Lonchura striata: one gene and its partner. The main gene of each other region encodes a partner of the protein of the gene in region 2 in a complex. Links are inferred from orthologs where the notes say so. Each region holds a gene or a part of one and is shown on either strand. Other genes may lie near its edges.

Region 1 (7,026 bases), on a different chromosome or scaffold from region 2:
CCACTCAATTCTGGGCACTTTGGAGCCTGCCCCAAAACCCACTAGCTCCTTTGGAAGTTTTCCTCATCCCCTGTTCCCAGGTGGGTATGGCAAAGCCAGGAAGTGGTGCCAGTACCTTCCTATCTCTTGGCCAGAAATACCTGCATTCCAGGGGCTGCAGCTGCAGTTTTGAGCAGCAGGCTGGAGGGAAACTAAATAGAAGGAAAAGGCAATGACAGAAATTACTAAGGAAAAGCAACAATGAGTGCAAGAACAGAGAATGAATCTCAGAAAGACACTCCGTGACTGAGGGGAAAAGATTTTCTTGGATAGTGTTTTTCATAACAAAACAATTACTGTTGCTCTGCCTGTTAACACAACTCCATTAACATGGAACTCGGCTGATGCCACACAGACACTCCCCCATTAACATAGGAATTTCCCTACCTGTCTTATATGATGCTAGAGAAGACAGGTAACATCTGTCAGGCTCATACAGCAGCCCAGCAGAATATTAATCCATCAGCAACTGCCTTGCACTGGCTATCAAACTCGATCTGAATTTCTATCTCACTAACATTTCCCAAAAAATATTATCAGAGGATAGAGAACTTCTGCTAAGAAGCACATTTTAGTGCAGACTTTGAGCAACTGTCCCTTAAACCATTACAGAGAATGTGGAGTACATATAAATAAAAACTGTAATTAAAAAATACACAGGTTTTTGCTCAGGCCATGCTACAAAGAAAATAAAATTGAACTAAGTGTGGAATAAAATTGAACAAAGTAGTATGGTACTATCACTGCTACATTTATTGGGAAAGAGAGGATAAAACTTAAACCTGTTATGAGGAACAATTTTCCTGGAAGACAGCACATCCTGTTCTATGAAGTCTGGAGAACTTTGGGGAGGGATGAATGGTGCTCTTTCTCTGCTAGCTGAGGGAGATCTCTACATTGAGGTAGGTTCTGAGGAAACCCCTGCTTATCCAAAAGTTTCCTGATGGTGGAGCAGGAAGCTGTTGTTCAGGGACACGGAACACAGGGAGTGGGCGCAGCAATCAGAGATCAGGGCTCTGTGTTGAGGCACCCACCATGGGGCAAACACCTTTTGGGTGTCAATCAGAAAGGCAGTTTCTGTTCAGTGCACAGACCAAATACAGGAGATAAGTGCTCGCTGAAGCAAACCACATGAATACATTTTCCTCTCACAACAGAACCTTATGAATGCAAAAATATTTGCTGATCTTGTGATCTGGGGGGCATGCTGCACACTTGTGCTGTGTTGTGCAATATCCTGTAAGTTTTCACTTTTAAAGACTTACTGTAACAGCTAAAGCTTCTATCCTGCAACCAGATACATTCCTGCCCTCTTAATCAAGCTGGGCAATACATCCAGCCAAAAAAAAAAAGAAATCCAGAGATGCTTTCCTTTAAATAAGGTGTTAGCTTCAAAGCTAAACAAGGGTTTGAGTCATGGCAATGTGACTAAGCACAGAAGAGAAGCTTAGGGAAGAAAAGCCATGAAGAACCAGCCTGGCCAGATCATCAGCTGGCATTAATCACCCTCACACTACCCCCATAGCTTTATTTTCCCTAAAGACCAAGGCATTGAAAAGTAACTATACCAAATGTACCAGCTGTAGAAGTCAGGTGGCTTGTTTTCCAAGGAAGTTCAGCAATGCACAGGCTGAAGCTCCCAGGGTAGCACTGGCCCACAGTTGTGTCCCACCCTGTGCACTGCACTGTGCAGTCAGTGTGTGCACAAAGGAGGAGAATCTCACATAGGTGTGGTCATGCACAGTCAGTCCTAACATCAACACCGACTTTCATATTTCCTCATTGTATTTTTATTCTTTTTAACTGTTCAAATCTAGTACTGCAGTGGGGGTGGGGAGGGCTTCTTGGAAGTGCCTGGAGGATGGTGGTTCACTGAAATGTGTTTTTGTCTCTGCTCTCTGTTTTCTACCAAGAGAGGGTTTACCCTGAAGCGTGGGTGGAGAGAAAGAGACCACAAGGAGAAAGAACAGCCAGGCAATGGCAGGAAGAATTCATATAGTTTCATGTCTTTCTTTAAGTCAGTGCTCAATGCTGGATAAATGATTGCCCAGAAAAGAGGCAACCACATTACATCCTGTTTACTTAACTTTGCAATGTTAGAATTTTGATTTTGAACTTTCATTCTCCAATTGCAAGAGAACCTCAGATTATCATAGAGAAATTACTAAGGTCCTTTTACCTTGTAACTGCAGAGAAAGAGCTTGAAAACAGGAGACCAAAAGGATTTTCAAACAAAAGTCAAATAACAAGTATGGAGCGAATCTCCTCATTTCAGTATTTGCTAGTTTTAGCAAATACTAAACTCAGCTGTGAGTTTGGGCTTAGCTGGGGAGTGGCACTGCTGGTCCTTTCTAACCTGTGCTGCCTCACAGCTCCTGGGCTCTGCATGCCTGGGAATGCTCCTGGCAGCAGGGAGGGAGCCTGGAGAGAGCTGAGCAGGAGCATTTTGCTCACAGCTGCTGGCTCTGCTCTTCCCCAGACAGGAGGGAATTCAGCCTATAATTAGCAACAGCTCACCTGCTCTGGGAGCCACTCACAGAGCTAAGGACACTCACTGCAAGCAGGTTCTTACCACTGTGACACAGACAAATCCATGTCCCTTTCAAAAGAGGTTTCTGGCCCTAGTACAGGATCTGGGAATGTCAGTGGTTTCATGGAGACTGGATATATTCTTTACACTGCATCCTTCTGCCCAGGATCAAACACTTACATTACCAAACACTATGTTTTTGCTGGAGACAAATTTGGATTTTCACTAAATTAAATTGAGAACACAGAACAACATTAAATTAGTTTTAAACTATATACAGAACCAAGCTGTATTTTAAAAGATTTTAAAACACAGGTACATTGAATATAGGAAACACATAGTAAATGCTCACTTACCCAAAAAGCATCTTTAAACTGCAGCTGGGCCATTATTATTGCTCTGCAGAGGGGTAGGAATGCTTCAGCTAGTCCGTTGTGGAGTGAGAGCAGCAGCAGGCACAGCTCTGAGCCTTGTCACTGCACCCCAGCCCAAGCAGAGAGTGCAGCACATCCACAGACCTGTCCCTCCTGAAGTCAGGCTGGTGCCAATAGCATGGGGCTGTTCCAGGCAGCTCAGAGAAATGACCTGTGGCTGTGAGGGACAGAGGGCAAAAGAGCTGTTGCTCACAAACAGAGACAGGCAAGTGCTCAGCACCCGCACCCCAAACCTGTTTCTCTTCTGGTAAACAGTTAATATTGAAATGAGGAAGCAAAGAGATGTCAAATGGTGTCAGGCTGCTCCTTGCCATGGGTGTGTGTGAGCGGACAGGAAAAAAATAGAGGGGGAAAAAAAAAGGCACTAAGTTCAGTGATATGATTTGATCAGCTGAAGGAAGAGAGAAAACAATTACAGTGCAAAAGAAACCACCACAATACATAGAGACAAGCTATTCTCTATTGCTGTGGTCTTGCAAAGAAAAAGAAGCTAAAGAAACATAAGTGCCCCATTTCTGCAGCACCTTCTGGGACTGGCAGAGGCCCACGCCTTTGCACACAGGAAACTTAGCTCAAAGCTGCATTTTGCATCTGGAAAGGCTTTTCAGGACTCAGGTTAAATTAAGAAGCCTGAGAAGTGTGCAGGTGTCTGCACACATTTAGATACCTGGATGTTGATGTAGAGAACACGCCTGATTTGCATGCCCTCACATAAATGTTTATATGAATATGTAAGGCATGTGAAATTTAGAAGTAAAATCCAAAGTCCTCAAAAAGAAGAGCTAAGAATCTGTTAGCACCAGGACCTGAGTGAACCCTCACAGACCAGTGAAGCAGCAGCACTCAGCAGCACACTGCTGACACCAAGTATTTCAGGCAGCTCCCCAAATCAGCTCCTCCAGTTGTTATAACACAGCTGCAAATACCTGAGCACAGAGTAACACTTCTAAAGCTTTCCTGAAACCCTCTCCAAAGCACCTGTCCTCCAGGTGAGGTTGCCTCTGTTCACCTTTTTAGGATGTTTTAAGCATTCTTAAATACCTAGTTTTAAAAATTCACTTGCATTTTTGGGGAGAGAGGGGAGGGGAGGGGAGGGGAGGGGAGGGGAGGGGAGGGGAGGGGAGGGGAGGAGAGGAGAGGAGAGGAGAGGAGAGGAGAGGAGAGGAGAGGAGAGGAGAGGAGAGGAGAGGAGAGGAGAGGAGAGGAGAGGAGAGGAGAGGAGAGGAGAGGAGAGGAGAGGAGAGGAGAGGAGAGGAGAGGAGAGGAGAGGAGAGGAGAGGAGAGGAGAGGAGAGGAGAGGAAAAAGGAAAGTAGTCCTGTGGTGGTTGCCTCTGTGAAAGCTGTCTGTGCACACCAACAACACATCAGGACTTACTGGTTTCCAACTGCCTGTCTGACACTGCTCTGGGTACTGTTGTCCTGCTGCCCTCCAGCAGCAGCCCCCGGGCAGATCATTCCGGGGTGGGGAAGTCTTGCAACTTCCCTGTGCTCCAGCAGGACTCGGGGCTCTGCTCAGAGAGCTCTGCAGCAGCTGGGGGCTGCAGTTACCCCTACTCACTCTGTGGTCAATTTGTAGCTGGTGTTTAAAAGAATTTGCCAGGTTCCTTCCTGGTGGTATGAAGAAGACAGGAATATGCAGGGACTCTGTGAGAGAAAATGAAGTGCAAGCAGAGGAGAGCAGACGAGAGTCTGGAAGGTCAGAGATGTAGCAGGAAGAAAGCATCATTGCATGAGAGTGGGAGGAGAAATGCAAGGATTCACTTGCAGACAATGTTGAGGAGAAAGGAGTGAAACTTTCTTCCAGAAGGGAAAATTCCTTGAAAAAATGTATTTTGAGGGCATGGACACTAGTCATACTTGATCTGTATCCAAAAAGAAAATGATCTTTTTTGAAGTGTTTTATCTCAGTCCTTCCAAACCTAAATGTTTCCTGTTACTATTTCCAAGTTACAGCTGTGTTTTGAAACCATCTTTGCTGCTGTTGGGGTTCATAAAAATGGACCAAGTGTGTTTTAGCCCTCTAAAATGTTATGCTATTTTCTTGTTATTTTTAGTTTGGTTTCCAGCCACAAAGCCTATTATTTGACTGAACCTCAGGCTGGGCTCTATTCCTGCATCCATCCCACCCAAGAGCTCTGGTGTAGCACAGTCACCTCCCAGCAGCTCTCACGCTTCAACGCCATCAGCACTCTGCTGTGGGTGAGCTCCTCAGAACAGCCCAGAGCAGCTCTCCAGTTCGGGAACTTGGATGAGCTGCCAGAGTAGCTGGTGTGAGACCAAGCCCAGCTGTGATGAAGCAGATTTGGGTCAATTTGGGTCTCTGCCCCCAGGTCCCAGTGGCACTGGGTTATATCCATGAGGCACTGTGCCGTGCAGGGCTTTGCAGGGCTTTAGAAGGGGGACACAATTCTGTATCCCCTCTGCTCTACACAGGAACAGGATATCAAGGCTGTGGTGGCTAACAGCTGGCCCAAAGGCCTCAGTTATCCATAATCCCAATCTGATAACCAAAACACAACTAATGACCTTAATTATGGAACTGGGCTGGTGCAGACCACTGGGGAGCAGGCCTAGGCCGGCGAGGACACGAGCAGCTATTGGCCCATCAGGGTTAACCACACAGATCATCAGAGCCACACGGGAGAGCTGCACCTGACCCAAGCTGCCTTGCTGTGTCATCAGCCTTGGTGTGTTTTGTCACGTTCCTGTCTCCAGCATTAAAGGGATTTCAGCCTGACCTGACAGGTTCTCTCAGAAATCCAGCAGTATCAACAAGGAGCCTTAAGTGGAACTCTTCCCTGACAGCCGCTGCATCTCCTTCCATCACTGCTCTTAGAGGTGTAAAATCAGCCATTCTGTTTGGTAACGCCAAGAACACACTTCCTGAGGGTTTTCCCCCAGTAATTAAATTGTTTGGCAGCAGAATGTACCATTTGAATCCATTCTGTAGTAAGAAGGATAAGTCTTGACTTTTTAAAAAAAACACTGTTTTGAAAGCCCTCAAATTTTCTCATTCTTTAGAATGGAAGTTTCATTTAATTTTTAACTATATACTACTTCAAGCAAAGCTTTTTATCAGGGATTTGGGTGGCAAGTTTGGATTTGACAGTAGGCAAAATACAAAAATAGCATCTACAAACATTTTTGTGCTCATCCACGACACCAAGCAAGACATTCTTCAGAGGAAATGTTTTTGATTAAGAAGACAGTAAACCTTTTATTCTACATAGCGAGAGTATGAGGGAGTCCATGGAAAGTATTAAGGCAGAAGACAAAGAAATGCTGAATACTCAGATAATCCCAACGTTGAGCTGGTTGTACTGTTCAGAAGTCCTCAGGCATATTGTGATCCCTTAGAATGGTAGTTTGGCAAATGCCAGTGGAGACTGGAAGGCACTGGTGCAGTCCTTCCCAGCCTCCAGAATCGTTACATCTGAGACACAGCTTCAAACAACGGCTGCAGTGCAGCCATGTCCAAACTCCAACAGCTCCTGGTGTCCAACTGAGCCCCACAGCCTGGGGACAGAGCAGCAAGGAAACCACTGCCAGAGCAAAACCATGGCTAAAACAGACATGATTCAGCAGCTGAGCTCTGCCCACTGTTCTAATTCCATATGAATGGATCTCTGCATTTCCATGTAGGAAATGTCAGGGGCTTGCAAATTATCCCAAATCATACCCATTAAAAATGTTGAAATCACCTTGCCTTCTGTGAGGAGCCAGTCTGTGTTCCCATGGAAACTGAAACTGCAGCCTCTGAACACCTGGCTTGGTTTGTTCCAGCTGCTCTGGACCATTGTGGCTGCAGCTAGAGGCTGCTTCAGCACGGCCCAGACTGCACACCAGGCTCTGCTCAGCCCTGAAACTCAGCTCCCTCTGCTCCTGTTAGAGGGAACTGCTCGAACAGCCTTCCAAAAGCAGCCTCACAGTGCAAGACAGTCCTGCTGGTATTCTGCTTCAGTAAAATCCATAATTGATATAAAGATTGATAGCACAGGCTCTGTTCTTACCTCTTATCTAACA
Region 2 (8,036 bases):
AGAAGGTTGATTCTTTTGTCTTTTTGGCATCCTTGCAGCCAATATTGCCAGGACATACACAGAGCAGTGTGTGGGGATTCTGACAGAGCTTCTGGGGCTTCAGCAGGAGCACATCACCTCAGGTAACCATTGCAGGCTGCTGCTGGTTTATGCTCTCAGGAGGTGCCTTTGCTGGAGCTCGTGATCCCAAACTCAAAGACACTTGGCTTTCAGTTTAATTGGCACCTTCAGCTGGAAGTTTTCCAGGTGGGTTGAGGGGTGTAAGGTGTGTTCCTTCTGCAGGAGCTGCTCTCTGTGGGAAAGGGGAAGGGGTTGTAGCTGTGTTCATGCTTCTTTCTGGCTGCCACCTGCTGACTCAGGGAGTGAAGGGCTCAGCAGAGACATCTTGCTGTCTATTTGAGAGCCAAGATGATTAATAAATCTTTTTGATCTCTGTGATTTCTGTTCCTCACATAATAGTCTGATGCAGTTGTGCCCAAGCTTCCTTTTTTCTCCTCTGCCCTCAGATCCACCTTCACATCGCTGCTGTTCCTGCTGTTCTCTTTTAACTGGTCTTGCTCTCAGATTTGAAAACCACACACTTGCACTCAGCTGTTCAATTCCATCTCAGGAGCTGTTGGTGTGCCTGAGTGGGCAGCAAAACCTTTCAAGTTTTGACCTAAAGTTCATGAGCCTCATTTTGAATCGGGGTCAGCTTTAATTTGTCATTCCAACCTCGTGTGTCTGAAGCATCATGAGTCAGAGGCTTTTTAAAGGCTGGCAGTGACCAGAAGAGAGGCTGCTCTCCAGCAGAGGAACAATCTGAAGTCTCAGTGCTTTATTTTAGACCTGGTGCAGCTTTGCTCTGACAAATGCAGTCGTGGGATTGGGAAGGAGGATGCCTCAAATCACAGTCTCAGGCAGGGCACTGACCCTCCTGGCAGAGATTTACACAGCCCCTTGAGTAGGGGGGGTTTGAAATGATTTTTCTTTTCTCTAGTGGTTTTTATAACTCCTGGGGGATGCTGATAACTTGTTTTTTCTTGCAGCTGTGGTCCGTACTTTCCGGGACCTGGCCTGGCTGTGTCCCCAGTGCACAGATGCCGTGTGCCAGGCCCTGCCTGGCTGTGAGGACACCATCCAGGACAGTGAGGTGAGGGGGAGGATGGACAACGACTGCTCAGCTTCCCTTTGCCTTGAGATTGGGGGCAAAAATCAGAAATCCTCAGATTTGTTCTCCCATTGTGCTTATTTGGTGCCAACACGTGGCACACAGCAGCTGTTTGCTGGTGTTCCTGTGGTTCCTTCAGGGCAAACAAGCACTGATCTGGCTCCTGGGCACCCATGGGGAGAAGATCCCCAATGCTCCCTACGTCTTGGAGGACTTTGTGGAGAACGTGAAGTCGGAGTCGTTCCCAGCAGTGAAGATGGAGCTGCTGACGGCGCTGCTGCGCCTGTTCCTGGCCCGGCCCGCCGAGTGCCAGGACATGCTGGGCAGGCTGCTCTACTACTGCATTGGTGGGTTCCCTGCATCCCCACAGCTCTGAGGGACCTGCTCTGGCTGTGTCCCCAGGCTGTGTCAGTGCCCTGGCTCTGAGGAGGCCGTCCAGGCTGCTTCCAGGTGCTTCCATGGCTTGGGCTGCTGCCTGGCCCATGGCTGGCTGATGAGTGTGGAGTCATGGAATCAGAATGGAACAGACCTTGAAGATCATCCAGTTCCACCCCCTGTCCTGAGCAGGAACACCTTCCCTGTCCAGCCTGGCGTTGGGCATTGCCAGGGATCCAGGAGCAGCCACAGCTCCTCTGGGCACCCTGTGCCAGGCCTCTCCCCCCTCACAGGGAACAATTCCTTCCCAATATCCCATCTAATCCTGCCTTCTGTTGGTTTAAAACCATTCTCCCTTGTCCTTTGGCTGTCTGCCTGTAAGCAGGCTTGCATTGTATGCCTGACAGTCTGCTTTAACAATGAGGTGTTAGTACTGAGGGGCAGTGTGGCTGACAGAATCCTCCCTGGGTTGCATTTCTGTGGTTGCAGAGGAGGAGCAGGACATGGCCGTGCGAGACCGTGGGCTGTTCTACTACCGCCTTCTGCAGTCTGGGGTGGAGGAAGTGAGGAGGGTCCTGTGCAGCCCCAAGTCTGACCCCTCCATGGGGCTCCTGGGGGACCAGAGCAAGCAGCCTGTCAATGCCTGGGCTTCGGAGTTCAACACTCTGGCCACAGTTTATGGCAGAGAGCGCTGGGCCCTGGCCACTGCTCAGCAGCCTCTGGAACCCTCTTACTCCTGCCCTCCCTGTGCTGACTCCAGCAGCAGAGACACAGGTAAACCTGCCTCGCCTTCCTCTGGGAGCCATTCTCCCCTTGCCAGCAGATCACAGAATCCCAGAATGGCTTGGGTTAAAGGGAGCCTTGAAATTCCTCTTCTTGCACCCCCTGCCATGGGCAGGGATCTTCCACTGTCCCAGGTGCTCCCAGCCCTGTCCAGCCTGGCCTTGGGCACTGCCAGGGATCCAGGGGCAGCCCCAGCTGCTCTGGGCAGCCAAGATGTTCTCCCGTGGGTTTGTTTGGAAAAAGGTCAGAGGGCTTTGGGGATTTGGTGTGCAGTGTGTGGCTGGTCACTGACTAGCCCAGGAAATGCTGCTGGTGGCACTGGGGTTCCAGCCCTCCTCCATCCAATGGGCTTTGTGGAGCTGGGAGCTGCATCTCACAAGTGTTTGTGCTTTCATTTCAGAATCACTGGTTTCTGAAGGGAATAAGGAAGTCCCTGAGGTTCATCCTGATACTCTGATGTCTGAAGGGAATAAAGAACTCCTCAAGGCTCATCCTGATGCAGGCAGCCTAAGCTTGATTCCTGATGTTTCCCTGACTGCAGAACAGTTTGAGAAGACCTGGCTGAGCCTGGACACGAGCTGCCAGCTCTCTCTGCCCTGGTGTGGGCCTGTCCATGCAGACACCATCCAGACAGCCCTTCGTGTTGTGCACATCCAGACCATTGCCATGAGCAAAGCTGGAGCCCAGCCCTGGAAAGCTTATCTGAGTGCCCAGGATGACTCAGGCTGCCTCTTCCTCACAGAGCTCCTGCTTGAGGCAGCAGATTCAGAGCTGCAGGTTTCAGTGAAGCAAACTGAAGCAAAGCCAGAGGCACTGCAATCCTTCATCTCAGCCTTGAGGACAGTCCTGGAGGCAGTGGCTGGACTGGAGTCTTGACTGGTCCCTGCTCCCAGCAGGATGCATGCTCAGAGCACAGGAAAATTTGATTTCTCTGCGTTCTCTCACCCTACCCAGTGCTGGTTTGGTAGTTTTAAACTGCAGAGTTTCCAGATTACCTGGAAAGCCCAGGTGGTGTGGGGGAAGCTGCAGCTGGGGCTGGGGAACAGGGCAGGGTGGAGGGTCTGCCCTCCCCCAGGCTGGGGAAAGGACAGGGTCACTGGTGTGAGTCACAGGACTGGTGGCATCTGTGGTGGGTGTCACGAGGCACAAACATCACTGATGGAACCAGAAGTGAGCAGAATTCAGGGGTGTGTTTTGGAGAGGTTTTTTTCCTGAGACTTAAAAATAATTTTAAAAAAACCCAAACCAAACACCAGAGGCACCAGGACTCTGCCACTTACCTCACATTAAGAGGAACAGAGCAGTGAGAAGAGAATCTTTCATTCTTAGCTCCTTTTACACTTGTTTTAATTTGCTGTCTGGTTTCAGTAGTAGCTTTGCTTTGGGGTGAGCAGAGTTCTGCTGTGCCAGAGGAGGGTGGGCAGGGACATCCTGACTGCTGGAACCAACACTTCAAGAGACAGATGTGGGTTTTTAATTGAAATGTGGTACTGAGGTGAGAATTCTCTCTGAAGTTCCCCCCCAGCTCCTTCATTCAGGATGATGTACACAGTGAGATTGAGCTAACAGGGCTTTAGGGTACTCTGTGAGGAGCACAAGCTTCTTTTAACCCTCTTCTGATTTCTGATTTTCGGTTTCTTTGAATGACTCGATTGTACCCTCAAACGGCACTGTGCCTCCCATGCACTTCACCAAATCCCTGCCACTGTTAAACACACTTCCCTAATAAAAAGGTGAATAATTCTTGGCTGATTCTGGAGTTTCTTGTTCTTTCAACCCTCAGGACTGTGGATGGAGTGATCTGTGGATCAGGGCAGCTCTGCAGCCCAGCTCCTGCCTCTGTGTCCAACAGGGCCTTTCTCTCTGACCTTCCTTGCAGCAAAGCTTTAAGGAGCAATTGGGCAATAAATTAATCTCAGCCTCAAATGCCAAATTACTGTAAAGGGTGAACCTGCAGATGGACTCAAAGGCAGATCACCAGTTAGCTGTAGCAGGTTTCCTGCTGACAGTTGCCAGAGCTGTGTTGTGTTCCTGTCCTCAGGGAGAGCTGAAGTGGAAAACACCAGAACTTCCATCCCTGGAAAGTGTCCAAGGCCAGCTTGGATGGGCTTTTGAGCAACCTGGGATAGTGGAAGGTATCCTTGCCCATTGAGATGAGCTTTAAGTTCTCTTCCAACCCACACCATTCTGGGATTCTATGTTAAAAGCGTGAAGGGGAACTGTGGATTTTCCATGCTGTTTTATGGACTCTTCCAGCCCCATTCCAGGCTCAAAGCATTCCTGGTGAAGCACAGATCCTTGGGATGTGAATGCTCCACAGTTGCCCCCTGTGCTCACCCCTGGCTACCCCTGGCAGTGATGGCTGGACACGGTGCTGAAGGAATTGGGGTGGTGGGGGGCTTGGACTGGTGTCCAGCATGTCCCTACCCTTGTCCTCAGTGCTGCCCACCCCGTGCCAGGTGGGGCTGGTTTGAATGGAGGTGCCAGGGCCCTGTGCCGTGTGTTCTGTTGTGTTTGACCAGGATTATCTGCTACGCACTAATTTCCTTTGGGGCTGTGATGAAGTCAGAAAACCACAGGCAGCTCTCCCCGGCGGCGCCTTCCGCTGCGGATCACTTGACATGTCCCTTCCCAGGAGGGCCAGGCCAGGCACGCTCCGGCACCATGGACCAAAGGGAGATCCTGCTACAGAACCTGGAAAGGGCCCAGGGCAAGAAGCTCAGCCGAGGAGAGTTTGCAGAGGAGTTTTTGGTGAGTTCACTCAAGGCTTGGCTCAGCGCTTCAGCTCATGTCGGGGGAATCGCTCGGTCACCTCTCAAACCTGTAACAGTGAGGTTTTCTAGGAGTTTTACAGCAGACACCCAGAAGTTAATTGGGCTAAGAGGAATGTGAAGACATGATAGGAAATTAATAGTTTGCATTTGAACTGTTTGCTTTTTAACTAATCACCCGAGTGCTTCCTGTTTTCTGCTTGGTGAATGCACTTGTCGGGACACGGTTTCACTTTGCCTGGTAACAGAACTGGGGGGACAGGGAGGAATATGGAGCCTCTGGCCCTGGTGACACAACTGGGGATACAGGGAGGAATATGGAGCCTCTTCCCCTTCTCCCCATTGCAATCTGTTAGACCTGTGGCACACGAGTTCCTGCCAGGCATCTCTGGTTTCACCTTGACTTAGCTTGTCCTTGTTTCTATAAAGCACAAGTTGCCCAAGGGAGCTGTGGCTGCCCCATCCCTGGAAGTGTCCAAGGCCAGGGTGGAAAGGGCTTGGAACAACCTGGGAGAGCAGCAGGTGTCCCTGCCGACAGCAAGGGGTGGAATTAGAGGAGCTTTAAGGTCCCTTCCAACCTAAGCCATTCTGGGACCTGTGTGCTCCACATCCAGCAGTGCTCCTGGCTCCTCCTGGAAACTGCTTTCTTGTTCCCTCAAGGCAAAAGCTGCACAAAATGCTGATGGCTCCCACCACCCTCTGTGTTCTGTGTTGCCCTGAATCTGTGAGCTCTCTGATGTATTTTGTGGTTTGGGTGCCAGGGGTGAGGCTCGGATGCTAATGCACCATCTCATGGCTAAAGCTGGTGGCTGGAGTGGCTCTTGGTGCCTCAGCTGGAGGCAGGTGGCTCTGACAGGCTGGCTGGGCTGCTCTGAGGGCAGTGACATTGCCCAGCTCTCACAGACACAGGGAAGGGTAAAACTGGTACCTCTGTGAGATCTGAGAGGTGTCAAACACTGCACCGACCCGGGCAGTGGGCTCCAGGTTACCAAGGGGTCCACACAAGTTCCAGCTCCAGCCCTGCTCTGTCATACCAGCAAAACTGGCACTTCAAACACTCAGGGGAAAGCTGCGTGCTTGGTTTCCAGGTGTCTGGGTGGAGGGAAGTGATTAATCTGAGCCTGCAGTGGCAGCCCGTTGTTCCATGGAACAAAGCGCTGTCACAGCCTGCTGAGTTTCCCCTCGCTCCGCCTGGTGTCTGCGTGTGTGAGGCAGTGGGCTCTGCCCTGCTGCTCAGGCTGTCTCCAGCAGCCTGATGTATTAATTTCTGACCAAAATGGCAGGTGGAAATGGTCAAGGCTGCATTTCCTGTTGTATGGGATAAGATCTTCTCAGAGACACCAGATTTGTGGCCGCTTTTGCAAGGCAGCGGCCTCAGCAGGCCATCGTGCTGGCTTGTTTCCAGACGTGACAGATATATCCAGTGGCGTTCCTCCACCCCAATTCCTGCCCTCTCCTTGTGGGACCAAGCATTTTTATGGGCAAATTGTGGTGATGTTACTATAAATGATAGGGGTTTTGTTAGAGTCCCCTTGTTCTGTTTGCAGTCTCATCTGCACTCTGCCCAGGCTCCCCGGGGAATGGGCACAGCCCCGAGGCTGCCAGAGCTCCAGGAGCATTTGGACAACGCTCTCAGGCACAGGGTGGGATTTTGGGATGTCTGTGCAAGGCCAGAAGTTGGACTCAAGGATTCTTATGGGTCCCATCTAGCCCAGGGTAGTCCATGATTCTGTGATTCCCACTTCCTTTTTCATGCCTAGGCAGTTCCCAAGCTGTTTCATGTCAGATTATTCAGGGACAGAAAAGTCAGATGATTCAGGGCCTTGGCGAGACTGGACACATGGACTGTCCTGAGCTTCCTGTACCTCCTCCCTCACTCATTCCATCAGATCTCTGAGATTTAGCTTCTATTGTGGCTGAATTTAGTGTTTTAAAACTGCAATTTAATATTAAAAGCCAGCAATCTGGACACAAAAATAGGAAAGAAAAAATGCAATGAGAATGGTGCTTCTGAAACTGATGGTAACAAATAGTGTGTGTTATGTAGGAGCTGGTGGCAGTGAAATAAAATTCTATGCTTTACCAGAAGAAAAATGCTTTAACTCCCTGTGAGTGCTGCAGCTTTATCCTTAAAATGAAAGAGATGAGAGCTTTGCAGCCCTAAGGGTCTGTCCCAGGACTCCTTGTCTTTCATCAGTCCATGGAGCCACTCTGCCCCAGTTGCTTGTGCTCCCTTAGTGACTTGAGCATCACTGCTTCCAGCTGCAGATGGGAGCACCTCTACCAAAGTGAGAAAAATCAAGAGATTTACCTGTCTTTTCTGGTATCATTCGCTGAAGGTGCTTTGACACTGTCACTCCTCTGATCTGGGTGCCATTTGTACTGAGAGTGGCTCCCCTGGGCCTCACCCACTTTGTGTCACTTCACAAACCGACGTGTGGGCACTGCCTCAGCACACACTTTCCATCCTTCTCAAGCCTCTGCTGGGGCTCTCAGATGGTTCTGGCTCTGTTCCTGCTCTGAGCAAAGCCACTCAGGAAAGAATTAATGGTGCCAGCCTTGCTTTGTGGTAGCAAACGTGACCCCTGGAGACCTTCATGTGCTCTCTAGTAGTGAGCTGGCTGTAGCACGTCTGCTGTAATTTGTTCCACTCTTTTATCACAGAAGCTGAAGAGACAGTCAACAAAGTACAGAGCGGATAAAATCTACCCTACAGCAGCATCTGAGCAGCCAGAGAACGTCAAGAAAAACAGATACAAGGACATCTTACCTTGTAGGTTGGAAATGGCACATGTTCCTACTCAGCCTTTTGTTTTTCTTGCTTTTCTTGTTCTCATTCTCTGCTGCCTGCCTGCACAGTGGTTGTATGTGAGCATCTCACTGCTGTCTGTTGGCTTTGAGTCCTGCTGCTCAGATTTAGGGCTTTGGCTGCTGCAGTGCCTGCTCTGGAGGACTTG

What was found. The genes of interacting proteins can lie anywhere in the genome.
Region 1: the proteins of PTPN22 (region 2) and PSTPIP1 are in contact, whole or in part, in a crystal structure (PDB 7AAM), measured with the Homo sapiens proteins. The link is inferred for Lonchura striata from reciprocal best matches to the Homo sapiens genes PTPN22 and PSTPIP1. Residues at the interface, in NP_057051.4 of Homo sapiens: Ser793, Lys794, Pro795, Gly797, Pro798, Arg799, Asn800, Pro801, Pro802, Trp805, Asn806; in NP_003969.2 of Homo sapiens: Thr225, Arg228, Asn229, Trp232, Asn236, Ser239, Met240, Cys242, Val243, Asp246.

What each region holds. Positions count from the first base shown.
Region 1 is NC_134613.1:4,992,912-4,999,937, reverse strand, and holds the start of PSTPIP1 (proline-serine-threonine phosphatase-interacting protein 1), read right to left. Parts: upstream 3,099-7,026; 5' UTR 2,959-3,098; coding exon 2,926-2,958; intron 1-2,925. UniProt on the Homo sapiens protein: Involved in regulation of the actin cytoskeleton. May regulate WAS actin-bundling activity. Bridges the interaction between ABL1 and PTPN18 leading to ABL1 dephosphorylation.
Region 2 is NC_134632.1:4,789,046-4,797,081, reverse strand, and holds the start of PTPN22 (tyrosine-protein phosphatase non-receptor type 22), read left to right. Parts: upstream 1-4,937; 5' UTR 4,938-4,972; coding exon 4,973-5,059; intron 5,060-7,743; coding exon 7,744-7,852; intron 7,853-8,036. Other genes in the region: AP4B1 (AP-4 complex subunit beta-1), read left to right, coding at 39-122, 1,029-1,132, 1,290-1,497, 2,015-2,299, 2,709-3,184. UniProt on the Homo sapiens protein: Acts as a negative regulator of T-cell receptor (TCR) signaling by direct dephosphorylation of the Src family kinases LCK and FYN, ITAMs of the TCRz/CD3 complex, as well as ZAP70, VAV, VCP and other key signaling molecules.